Linked DNA regions of Neodiprion lecontei. The protein of the gene in region 2 interacts with the protein of the main gene of each other region in a biochemical or structural test. Links are inferred from orthologs where the notes say so. Each region holds a gene or a part of one and is shown on either strand. Other genes may lie near its edges. The genes, in order: protein arginine N-methyltransferase 6 and high mobility group protein HMG-I/HMG-Y.

Evidence for each region.
Region 1: of the proteins of high mobility group protein HMG-I/HMG-Y (region 2) and protein arginine N-methyltransferase 6, one has a biochemical effect on the other in vitro, tested with the Homo sapiens proteins (2 studies listed by BioGRID, with this or other methods). The link is inferred for Neodiprion lecontei from reciprocal best matches to the Homo sapiens genes HMGA1 and PRMT6.

Annotation. Positions count from the first base shown.
Region 1 is NC_060260.1:29,298,673-29,303,937, forward strand, and holds protein arginine N-methyltransferase 6, read right to left. Parts: upstream 3,331-5,265; 5' UTR 3,157-3,330; coding exon 3,103-3,156; intron 2,943-3,102; coding exon 2,828-2,942; intron 2,691-2,827; coding exon 2,324-2,690; intron 2,159-2,323; coding exon 1,645-2,158; 3' UTR 768-1,644; downstream 1-767. Other genes in the region: lysM and putative peptidoglycan-binding domain-containing protein 3, read right to left, coding at 1-11, 310-359. UniProt on the Homo sapiens protein: Arginine methyltransferase that can catalyze the formation of both omega-N monomethylarginine (MMA) and asymmetrical dimethylarginine (aDMA), with a strong preference for the formation of aDMA.
Region 2 is NC_060260.1:24,417,469-24,423,277, reverse strand, and holds high mobility group protein HMG-I/HMG-Y, read right to left. Parts: upstream 4,114-5,809; 5' UTR 3,962-4,113; intron 2,741-3,961; exon of another isoform or gene 2,359-2,740; intron 1,997-2,358; 5' UTR 1,960-1,996; coding exon 1,759-1,959; intron 1,582-1,758; coding exon 1,459-1,581; 3' UTR 795-1,458; downstream 1-794. Other genes in the region: tRNA-dihydrouridine(20a/20b) synthase [NAD(P)+]-like, read left to right, coding at 5,065-5,141, 5,254-5,451, 5,589-5,809. UniProt on the Homo sapiens protein: HMG-I/Y bind preferentially to the minor groove of A+T rich regions in double-stranded DNA. It is suggested that these proteins could function in nucleosome phasing and in the 3'-end processing of mRNA transcripts.

The DNA.
Region 1 (5,265 bases), about 4.9 Mb from region 2:
AAACCTTTTGCCTAGAAGAATTACTCGTACACGCTTATGTTAACGAATACTCCGCAGCAAACCAAGTTCTAAAGTCAGTTGACTGTTGTGTAACAAAGTATGAATGGGAATAGCAAGCAGTTCAATTTTAGGGATTAGAGCAAAGAGAATTCACAAGAAACTAGCATGGAAAAGTTCATATGTTCCAATTGAAAAATAGTTATTTAGTAATATTAACGAAGTATTATGTCCATTGAATAATTAGATATCAACGAAATATTGGATAAATCATCTTGGGATAAACATAACCTTGAGAAGAACGTCAGTTACCTTCCCGATCTCTGCCCATCATTTCCGTTACTGAGTGATATTTTTCGCATCTTTGTTAATATTACGATAACATTTCACTGTGCTCACTTGATTACTACTTGTTGTTCGCAGTATTGAAATAACTGACTACATTCCATAACCTTTCAAGTAAAAATTATAATTGTCAGCTGTTTTACTTTTTTTTTCTTCTGCAAATGTCATTCATATCCAGTCGGTTCTCTCCATGCAAATAAAACAAGCGTACCATTATAATCACGCCGATTGACTGTACGCCTAACGGCAGGCAACTAAACATACGCGTATGACGTAACACGAGCTTTTTTCAGGAGTAATGGTAAAAAGAAATCCGACAAATTCATCGTTAAATCGACAATCTATGCGGGATAAAAACTCAGGTAGACACGTACAGACTAGAACGTAGTACTGTCAAAGTGTGCAGGAAAATTTATGTATTACACCATTTTTTCTGAGCACCCTTACTTCAATGGGCACAATTTATTTCCAAATTATTTAAAAAATAGTTGGAAGTAAAATCCCATGTACAAATAGTAGTCTTTAGATCCGGCTTTTATACCACATAACAACAAATACTACAGAATTATTTGTATCAAAAAATGGCTTACTTAAAATTGCAGACATCTTTAATAAAAGTTACATAAAATGTATCTGAAATATTTAAACAAATATAACAATTGAACATTCTATGTAGGTTCATATCGGGTAGAATCTCATTCCTTACTATCTAGTGAAGAGTCTTCTATGGTTTTGGGTCGCAAGCAAAAATTGATTCCCCGCAAATCACGATTGAAGGATTTTCTGTACTCTACTCGATTCGCTTGAAAAATTTACTGCACACAGTTCAGGTTGTGATAAAAGTTGTGGTATAATTTTTAGCTGGACATTTTTCTTGCTTGTTTGTCGGTAGAAAATGATTGAAAAAGAAAACTGTTTCAATTTTCAATCCAATTTTTGCGATAATTGATTGCCAGTGAACAAAATCAAACGCCCAGCTGAAAATTATAGCACACTTTTTTAACAACTTGAACTGTGATCGGTAAAATTTCCAAGTGAACTGAGTAGTCCAAGGAAAATTCGTTCAATCACGGTTAGCGAGGAGTCAAGAATTTATGTATGAACCCAACACTATGGAAGAGTCTTCACAAGATAGTAAGGAATGAGATTCTAGCCGCGCGTCAAATTCGATGACCATCCGTTGAAACCCGTCCCGTTTCGCGAGAATTAACCCATATGCTTATTCACAAGGAAACTTGCATAAGCAAGAATAGATGCAGTATGGTACTTGAAATCACAAAACATGTGACTTCGTAGTAAAAATTAAGTTTCTCTACCCTGGATATCTTCCTCTGGATGTTCAGAGAGATAAGCTTTTATTACTAAACACTTGGTCATATAACAATGACAGGGAATATCGTGTTCGACGTTTTCTGGGTCTAACTGAGTATATTCCACATTATAAATTCTTGGTTTCAAAGAATCCTTACGGAGTTCGAGCTTGAATGCTACTGGTTCATCTTTCGTTACCGGAATATCGTGTGGGAGTACTACAATACTTTGTTTCCAATGAGTTGATTCATACTCTGGACTAGTCGATAATTCCGAACCATCCGGAAATGTAACGGAAAACCATACGCAAATGCCCTGATATATTCCGTTCCGATTGCACGGTACGACCGTAGATTCACCACCGAGACATAACAATTCTGGCATAGTTGCTGTACTGAGATCCAGCCAAACAAGCAGCTTTCCATCCGTCAGTAAGTTATTTGCCTCTAAAGACGAAATATTTGGCTTTTTAGACTTCAAACGTCTCTGTTCCCGGCTGACAAACCTATTCAAAAAAAGTAAGAGAATTTTAAAACGAAAGGAAGGCTTGAACATGCTATAGTCAGAATGCTGACAGCCTGTTTTAAACTCGTGATGGCATCTATAGAATCAACCAGAAATTAAATACTAATGTTGATAGTCGACCATGCTAACAAATGTATTTCCTTACTCCATACTGACTCCGTATACATCGTTCCAAAAATCATACACAGTGGGTAATTCGCAAGGAGATGCATAAAGTTTGGCCTCGTTAGGGAACATGAGTCCATTTTCTTTCAAGAATTGATCTCTGGCCACAAGTACCGAATCCAGCATTCCCTCGTGCATCAAATGAAATCCCATCCATTCAGAGACTATGATATCGACTTTGCCGATATCATCACTCTTTAAATCTTCTACTTTACTGTGAATCACTTCTATGATACTTTCAAAACCATTTTCGCGAACTACTTCTTTTGCTACTTGTGCCATGTGGCTTGCTTCTATAGCATAAACTTTTGCAGCACCTGCTTTGGCACAGAACACCGATAGTATACCTGTTGAGAATCATCAATCAATGCAGATATTACTGGTAAGACTTCACTTGTGTCTAAATTTTCGCAACTAAAGTTCTTTGCATAATTAACAAATCGACTTCATTAATTATTATGTGATAAAAGTGTTAACTTCATACCCGTCCCAGCACCAACATCCATTACAATTTTGTTCTGAAATTTATCGCTACAAGCAAATATTGCATTTTTGTAAGCAAGGGTACGAGGTTTATCCTCTAGCATCAGTCGATGAACCTGTGGAGACAAGCGCAATGAAAAAAAACTACCGTCGTCAGTGAGAAGTCAGTAGGAAATGATCGACAGGAGGATAATAATATTAATTCAAACAATCAATCATTTCCTTTCAAACTGTCTCCATCAGTAAATATCAATAGTGACGTAAGTGAATGTTTACTTCCAGATCCTCGTAACTCTTGAAATATTCATCTGTTGAATCGCCGGTGTCCATTGTTAAATTACGTTCTTTGTCAATCTTCCTAAAAACTAAAATTACGACGATGTATGCTAGGCTAACTCTTGCACGTGACACTCATAACCTACAATTTTCGGAATGTCGTTGTCAGCCACGGTGTATACAAGATTTAAAGAGTGCGTGCGTTACAGCCAAGAGACGTCGTGAAGTGTGCGGGTTGTTCTCGGAAACGAGGAGTATTGAGTCTACGCGCAAAAGGCGCAGTCAGACTTGATGGATACGTAGCGATTATCAAAAACAAATGACTGCGACTAGATCCAAAAATGCATCCAAAACAGGATGAAATTTTATCATATTTTCTCGAAGACTGATTCAACGATGTTTTAGTGGTAATGTACGCAATGTAAGAATAAATGTTCTAATAAAACAAAACCAAGCATCTGAATCATCTTGATAAGTGCAGCTTTTAACCTAGTACCTAAAGAGTGCCTAATTGTTACATTATATCTTAAAATCGGCGTTTCTAATATAGCTTTGCTAATACTACGCACGGTGGAAAGTACAGAATAAAAACATACACTTTAGAATATACCTGTGCAGCCATAAATTATGTATTAGAATCTATCCTGATGCGATATCACAACACATTGACACCGATTCAGTATAAATTGGTTCGATGAAAATATATTCTTACCCAAAAAGAGCAGGGGCGTACCTAATTTTTGTCATCTCGCCATTTGAGCTCAGCGCCTGCAGGATGTCACTCTTGATCACTTTGATGCACTTACGGCTGCATCGAGCCGGCTCCTGAATTTGATGTATGTATATTAAATGCACTGGATATTCACATACACTTTTCACGATCAATCTGAACGCACAAACACACTCAAGCGGGTAGCTCACTATCACTATTTTATTATCCGTAAACACGACACTAAGAAAGTTCAAAGATAATTACCTCGAAAAGTTACACAAGAATTACGAATTCGACCATTTTCAAAATATCACAAGACTGAAGTTAGTAACGTTACCGTAATGAAACATTGCGAAAAAAATCAGTATTTTTTCATTTTTAAACTGACTGAAGGAACGAAAATTTCAGTATATGAGTATGTTTTGATTTATTATGGTTTACTAAATTTCAAACAATTTTCAAAATCACGAAGTAACGGTTTTTCCTCGACATGAATTGTTCCGATAAGGTCACTTATAACTTCAACATGGTAGAAGAGTAAACGTGTAAGACATTACACTGAATTTTAATCGCCAGTACGAATCTAACGATCACGGTAATAATTTCGTAGCAAAAACGTAGAGAATCTAGTTTTATGTTAGACACTTTGGGTAAGCTCCAAACGCTGTGACAAAGCTAAACAAGTCTATATTTCTGAGAACGCGAATAGGAGAAAACAACTTCTTGATTACGTCGCGTCGCAACAAATAGGTAAAACAATTGACATATTCAACGCGGTTGCAGTCACTTGTTTAAGATTGTCGAAGTTTAGTATGCCTTACGCCGAGTGATTAAACAGCAAATTTATCCACTCACGACTGTTATGTCAACCGATTAAAGGAATCTACTCGTAAGAAAAACTTACACCTAATCATAATACCGAGTTAAACATGGTTAAACGTACCGGGACACGGGTCAAGCACGCTATTCGCCAACATTCGACCAGTTCCACTTCCATGATCAACTATCACTGGCCAGTGGGCGTCGCGTAATGGCGGCCGAGCTCTCAAGCGCCGCTAGCGTGACGACGGTGATGCTCAGAACTAAATTCGATGTTGTTTTCTTTCGTTGACGCGTTTAAAAATGGAAAGCATTTGAAAATTGATTCAAGAAACAGAGTTCTATTTTCTTGACTATAATTCTATCTTTCGAGTTCTGAAAGCAGTTAATGACACAGTAAATTGATATGTATTCTTTGGTGAATTGTTAATAACTCTGGCAAAGAACATGTGCCATCGTATGTATTTATTAACGTATTCAAAGAATAATTGAATTTACTCCTCATGTTAGGTTAATTTTCTTCCTCTAGTATTTTTCGCATTGTCGTTCTCATCCTCGGATTTTTTTTTCCTACATGCAACAACAAAGTGAAATTGCAAACTGTTATTGGTTCAAGAAAGATACGAGTTTGT
Region 2 (5,809 bases):
ATATACGTACATGTAACGAAAGAATCCAATCTAGTAAAGAATCTTATTCGTATTAATAGGTAGAGACGTTTATTTGTAAGGCTGGAGCTGAAGTAAGTTTTTTATTTGAATATGAGCTCTGTAATTTATAGACATTTAGAAATCTCTAAGCAAATCACTTGCGCGTAGCCAGCACCATTCTGTTCATCTTAAATTGCAAACGTGATATAGATCGTAAAGTATTTTAGCACATATTCATCACACTTGACGTTGACACGTTTTTACTCAAAGCGATTATTAATTATAATTAGTATTATTTCAGTTGCTTAAAGTAACGAAAAGTTTTACTTAGTAGGTACAGCATTAACATGTAAATGTATAGTAGCATTAATCACTGCTACGTACAATCAGCCAAAGATAATCTAACTTTTATATCGTTCGTACATATATTGCAATATTATGAATATCGAAGAATACAGCGTTGGCACTGTATGAATAAAAACTATCTAGTCCATAGCATGTAATATAGTGAAATCAAATGTAAACGATATCTGATTGCCTATTTCAAGTAAATCAATTTCAGTATTATCTACTAATAGTTTATAGCCCACATTAATTATGTAACTTACGTATCCTATTATGCCTACTTATTTTTGCATAATAAAATGCACAAATGATTTCCCCTAGTTATTCTCTGTAGTTAATTCCTGCATGCAAATCCTTATGCAATTAATTACTTAGGTACACAGGTCGAATATAAACTCCCCAACACAAAGAACGGCGAGGACTCCTAAAAAGGAATAAATTATTACAAATTATTTTGTTTATAGTTTATTTAATACAAATTTGACATTCACACAATGTATGTTTAATCAGAAATAAGATTTTGTTTGACATTGTAGCAATACTTTCTACATCTTTTCACATGGAAAGTACTCCACCAGGTTTACGGATATTTAGTGATTACGAAGTTAGTTGCTTCTTATATTTCGGAGCAGAGCCATTTTTACTTATAATATTAATATATAGAAGTGCCATAAGGTAATATAATCGTATTTGAAGATACTAAAAACCATTGTTTAAAAATGAAATTGGGTCGTACAGTACAGATGAACCCGGGCTTGGATGCCTAAAGTCTTAAATGTTTGTTCACATTTTCAATATTTAGTAATAAATCAAAACGTGTCTAAATACTAAAAAATACATTACATACGGTTTATACAAGTAGTGTTCTTTGAAAGCTTGGCTTCTCAAATAACTTCTGTTAGCTTTTTCATTTTCTCATTTTTTTTTGTTTTACTTTTTTAAAACTTTTTCTCTCTACCTCCTTTTGTTATTAAATTCGGAATATTATGAATTTCGGTGTCACTTGGTGTGAGCTTTCAACAAGTTATGGAATAGTAAAACTTAAAATAAAGGAACGAGGATTTTTTTCAAGGGTATCTGAGAGTGAATCAAAGCTAGGGTGACTCAGCTACTTCAATTCTCCTCTTCCTCTTCCTCCTGTTCATCTTCTTCCTCACCAGTGCTTTCTGGCTTTTCTTCTACCTTCTTCGGTCTACCACGGCCACGCGGCGCAGTTGCAACTTTTACTGCACTAGCCTATGAAAGTCAATGACGAATTTTCATTAATTAAGAATATTTGGATTGGTATGAATAATCTTGAAATCTAAAAGTAATTTTGTAACACAATAACATGTTGCGGATAATTGGTTATAACTTGAAGGAGTATATAAGAATTCTAGTTGCTTTGCAGATTTTGCCTTGCATAGTTTATACCTTCTTCTTATGCGTTCCCTTTGGGCGCCCTCTGCCTCTTTTGACAGGTACTGGGGCATCATCGTCATCGTCAGACTTCGTTACAACGTTGTTCTTTTCCACTGGCGGTCTGCCTCTCCTCTTTGCTTCTTTGACAGGGCTTTTTGCTGGACGACCACGCTTCTTCTTATCTTCAACAACCGGTGAACCGTCGTCTGACATCTTTATTGCTTTGTGGAATGGACTTTAAATCAGCAATCTGAAACATTTCAGTGCACATACGGTTTTAATAACTTCCAAACGTTCGGTCATCGTTAATAATTAAAAATTCGGACGCAATCGTCGCCAAGATTGTTTCAATAATCAAAGTACTCATAAATTGCATTAGATACTAATTAAATTGTACGAATGTTAAGTACTGTGAAAATGGCATTCTGGTATGTTCAAACAATCAAGAGTGTAAAGAATGATTTTTATCGGGAAATTATCAACAAGATTTTTGCTTCTACTCATCATCATTGTACAATAATACACATAAAAATATTCTTCAGCATTCAATTATGAGATAGACATCACATAACATGACATAATTTGTTAATATATTTGAGAAATGAGCGAGGTCTTCTTGTTATACTTCCTAATCAAAATTCATCAATTCTTAATATCACACAGTCGTTTACAAGTCCAAATATTAACTAAACGAAAATTCCGTATTGAAAGTAGTTGAAAATAAGCAAAAGTGAAGTGATGGTCAAAGTGTGAGAGAAGAGTTCGTGGTGTATGTTTCCCCGCCCATCATGATCGAAATCATTAACAAGATAATTGGCAATCAAATTTGCCCACTCTACCACAGTAGCTCTTCAACCTTCCACAAAATGGATGCAGCGCTATGGTCGGCATCAATTAGAATGGCGCCATGTCCGTAACGCGTACTACGCAAAGTAACACAGACTACTATTTATACCTTCGATGAGTAGCCGGTTCCCATCATATTCATCTATAGGTAAAGCGCTAAACATACCCGTACCTCGTAAATATACTAATAATTCAATCCACTTGATACTGGTGCGCAAAAGTAAAAAAGAAAGGTCTTTCGGATTGTTTACATATTTTGTAGTGACTACTTTTCAAGATGGCGCTTCCCGCGGACGCAGGAGGGAAAATGACTCTGGCATCCCTGTGGCGTCCCTCCAGACTCGCGTGTATAAACAATAATGGAATACATTCGATATGACGTCACTCATGCGGATATATCAACTTGCAGGATGAGTTTTATTACGATATGCGCCGTTAGGATTCTTTCGCACGATTATTTCTTCCAAATTTTGAATAAAATTGTTGAAAAAATCGAAAGCTACAACGAAATAGTCAGTTGAATCTCGTGAATATCCCCGCCCGATTAAGTGATAGGCAGTTTTCTAGATTATTATTTTACAGGTTGTTTCACGTATTGAAGTGGAAAGTTTAACCCGTTTTTCGCGATAATTAATGAGGTTTACAGTGAATACGCCGATGTTAGTGGTATCTATCGATTTTCACAGCTTCTACCACTGAACCTACCCCTGCAAAATATCTTTCTAGAAGCGCGCGCAACGGAGGAAAGCTAGGTTTACGTCGTATACACAACTACGTACCGAAGAAAAGTAGAATCTTCAGAGAAAAGTCGTCACCAAAGTGTCGTATTTGTTGATTTTTGACGATGCCTATTCACCGATTGCAGTAACAAGTTTGTAAACACTATGAAAAAATTGACTTTCAAAATCAACCGTGTTATATTTTACAAAAATTCCGCGCCCGCCATTTTCAAAACGCTTTGTTTAATGCGATTTATGTATTTACCCGATTGAGCCCACCCTTTGAACGAAGCTTCGAACGGAATTAAAAAAAACAACTTTGCAGCGATAAATTTTTACCGAGTGATTTTTTCCTACAAAAGTTTCAACAAAGGTCAGTCCAAAGATACGTTCACGAAATTGCGTGGAAAATAATTCAATGAAGGCTTGACTGCCGAGAGACGCCATAGCTACAAATGGCATCACCCGTACGCGTTGGTGAATTTTAGATTTCAATTAATATCTCTGCTAGTATTATAGCCAGCGGTAAACAAAAATCTGAGTAAAATTAAACTAATAAACTAAGAATTTTTGCCGATTTTTGACCCCCCAAAATAAATTTATCCGAGTAGAAATAAAATATTTGTAGAGAAAACGTAGACGGGACTTACCTCAGGTTTGCGTTGGAGACAAAGGCCTGCGCGCGGGACGGGGCTACGGGAGACGCAGTTGTGGCTGTGACGTCCGCGGACCAGGCTGAGTGAATGACTGCAAATGTTGCCGCCAGGTTCTCCCCTGTCTGGGATGCTTCCCGCCAAAAAATTACCTCCGATAGAAAATTCATTTATTTTTTACAGGGGATATTTATTGCCGTAACAGTATCGATACGTTAGTAAAAATGTGATAAAAATTTTCTGTAGGTTCAATTTTTTATAATAAAATTTACAAAAAGCTTTATTCCCACTTCGCCAAATGTAGACCGTGGTCGTATACACCCGCCATCATTCCACGGCGAGGTTTGGATCGATTTGCTTGTGTTAAACCCCCTGAAACATTTGAGGTGAATTAAGAATGACTCCTTTTTACAACTTACAGCTTTATCATAACAGCACACTCAAATGGATAAGTGTGTCAAAGACTTTAGTTTTCTTTCAAGATCCGTTATTAAATTAGAACGGTTATGTTATATGATTATTTCATGAACGATTCCCTCCGACATATGATATAAAACAGACTGTGGCACCTAAATAGGAACTATCCAATTTATTTTTATTCATTCGAAGTATTATGAAATATTAATAATGGAGTAGCTATTGTTATCCAAGGATCAAATATTACACAGTTTGTAATGACATCATACTCGACGTGCCTCCGTGGCGCAATTGGCTAGCGCGTTCGGCTGTTAACCGAAAGGTTGGTGGTTCGAGCCCACCCGGGGGCGGTTATTTTTGCATTTATATTTCAGTTTGTTTAATCATCGGGAGAATTTTTTGAATTTTTAATGAATGTGAGAAAACAGCGTCAAAGCATTGAGTAATTTTCGTCGGTTGGTTCGCTTCAAAAGCTGCTCATCTTTGAAGGCTTCTTGATAACATGTATTATTCTGATCTGTAGGTAATGGTAGAGGCAACAGTAAACTACTACCGGTTTCAAATATATCAAGTCGGTCGAATACATTTGAGTATTTTTCAATAATCCCTTCTGGAAAAGTCAGTCGCTATACTCATTTAAAAAAACAATTGGCTTGATTTTCAAGTGTTATTTGTAATAAGAAATGATGACCGATATTCTAGAACTGTTACAAGAACCACGAATGACGAAAGTCTGCGCTCCCATGGTTAGATACAGCAAGTTCGTAAAGTTGCAATCGAGTAAAAACAAGAAGTTGACATTAACCTCATCTGACGGACAGCTGACACTGTGAGGTCGATATCGTTGTAATAACGATTTAAACCATTTACAGATTGCAATTCAGGACATTGGTTCGCAAATACAATTGCGACTTATGCTTCACCCCGATGATAATGGCTGACTCTTTCGTGCAGTCTGCAAAGGCCCGCAACAATGAATTCACTACACACAAAAATGACATACCACTGATCGCTCAGTTTGCAGCAAAGACAGTTGGTGATTTCGTTGGAGCAGCTGAAATGGTCGCACCGTAAGTATTTACAAGATTGTTATGATGAAAGGATAATCCTAAGCTCAAAATGAGAGATTTTGTACAAAGTGTGTAAGAGATAATAGGGTTCATGTCTTTGTTCACTGCATTTACTTGAAGTTTTTATTTGTCAACAGGTATGTTGGTGGGGTGGATCTAAATTGTGGATGCCCGCAGCGGTGGGCTATAAAAGATGGCTATGGTGTGGACTTGTTAACTAAACCTCAACTAGTTAAAGACTTAGTACTACAAGTTCGAAATCGAATACCTCATCCTTTTACAGTGTCCGTCAAAATTAGGTTACTCAAAGAAATTCATAAGACTGTAGAGTTTTGTCAGACATTAGAGAAAGCAGGTT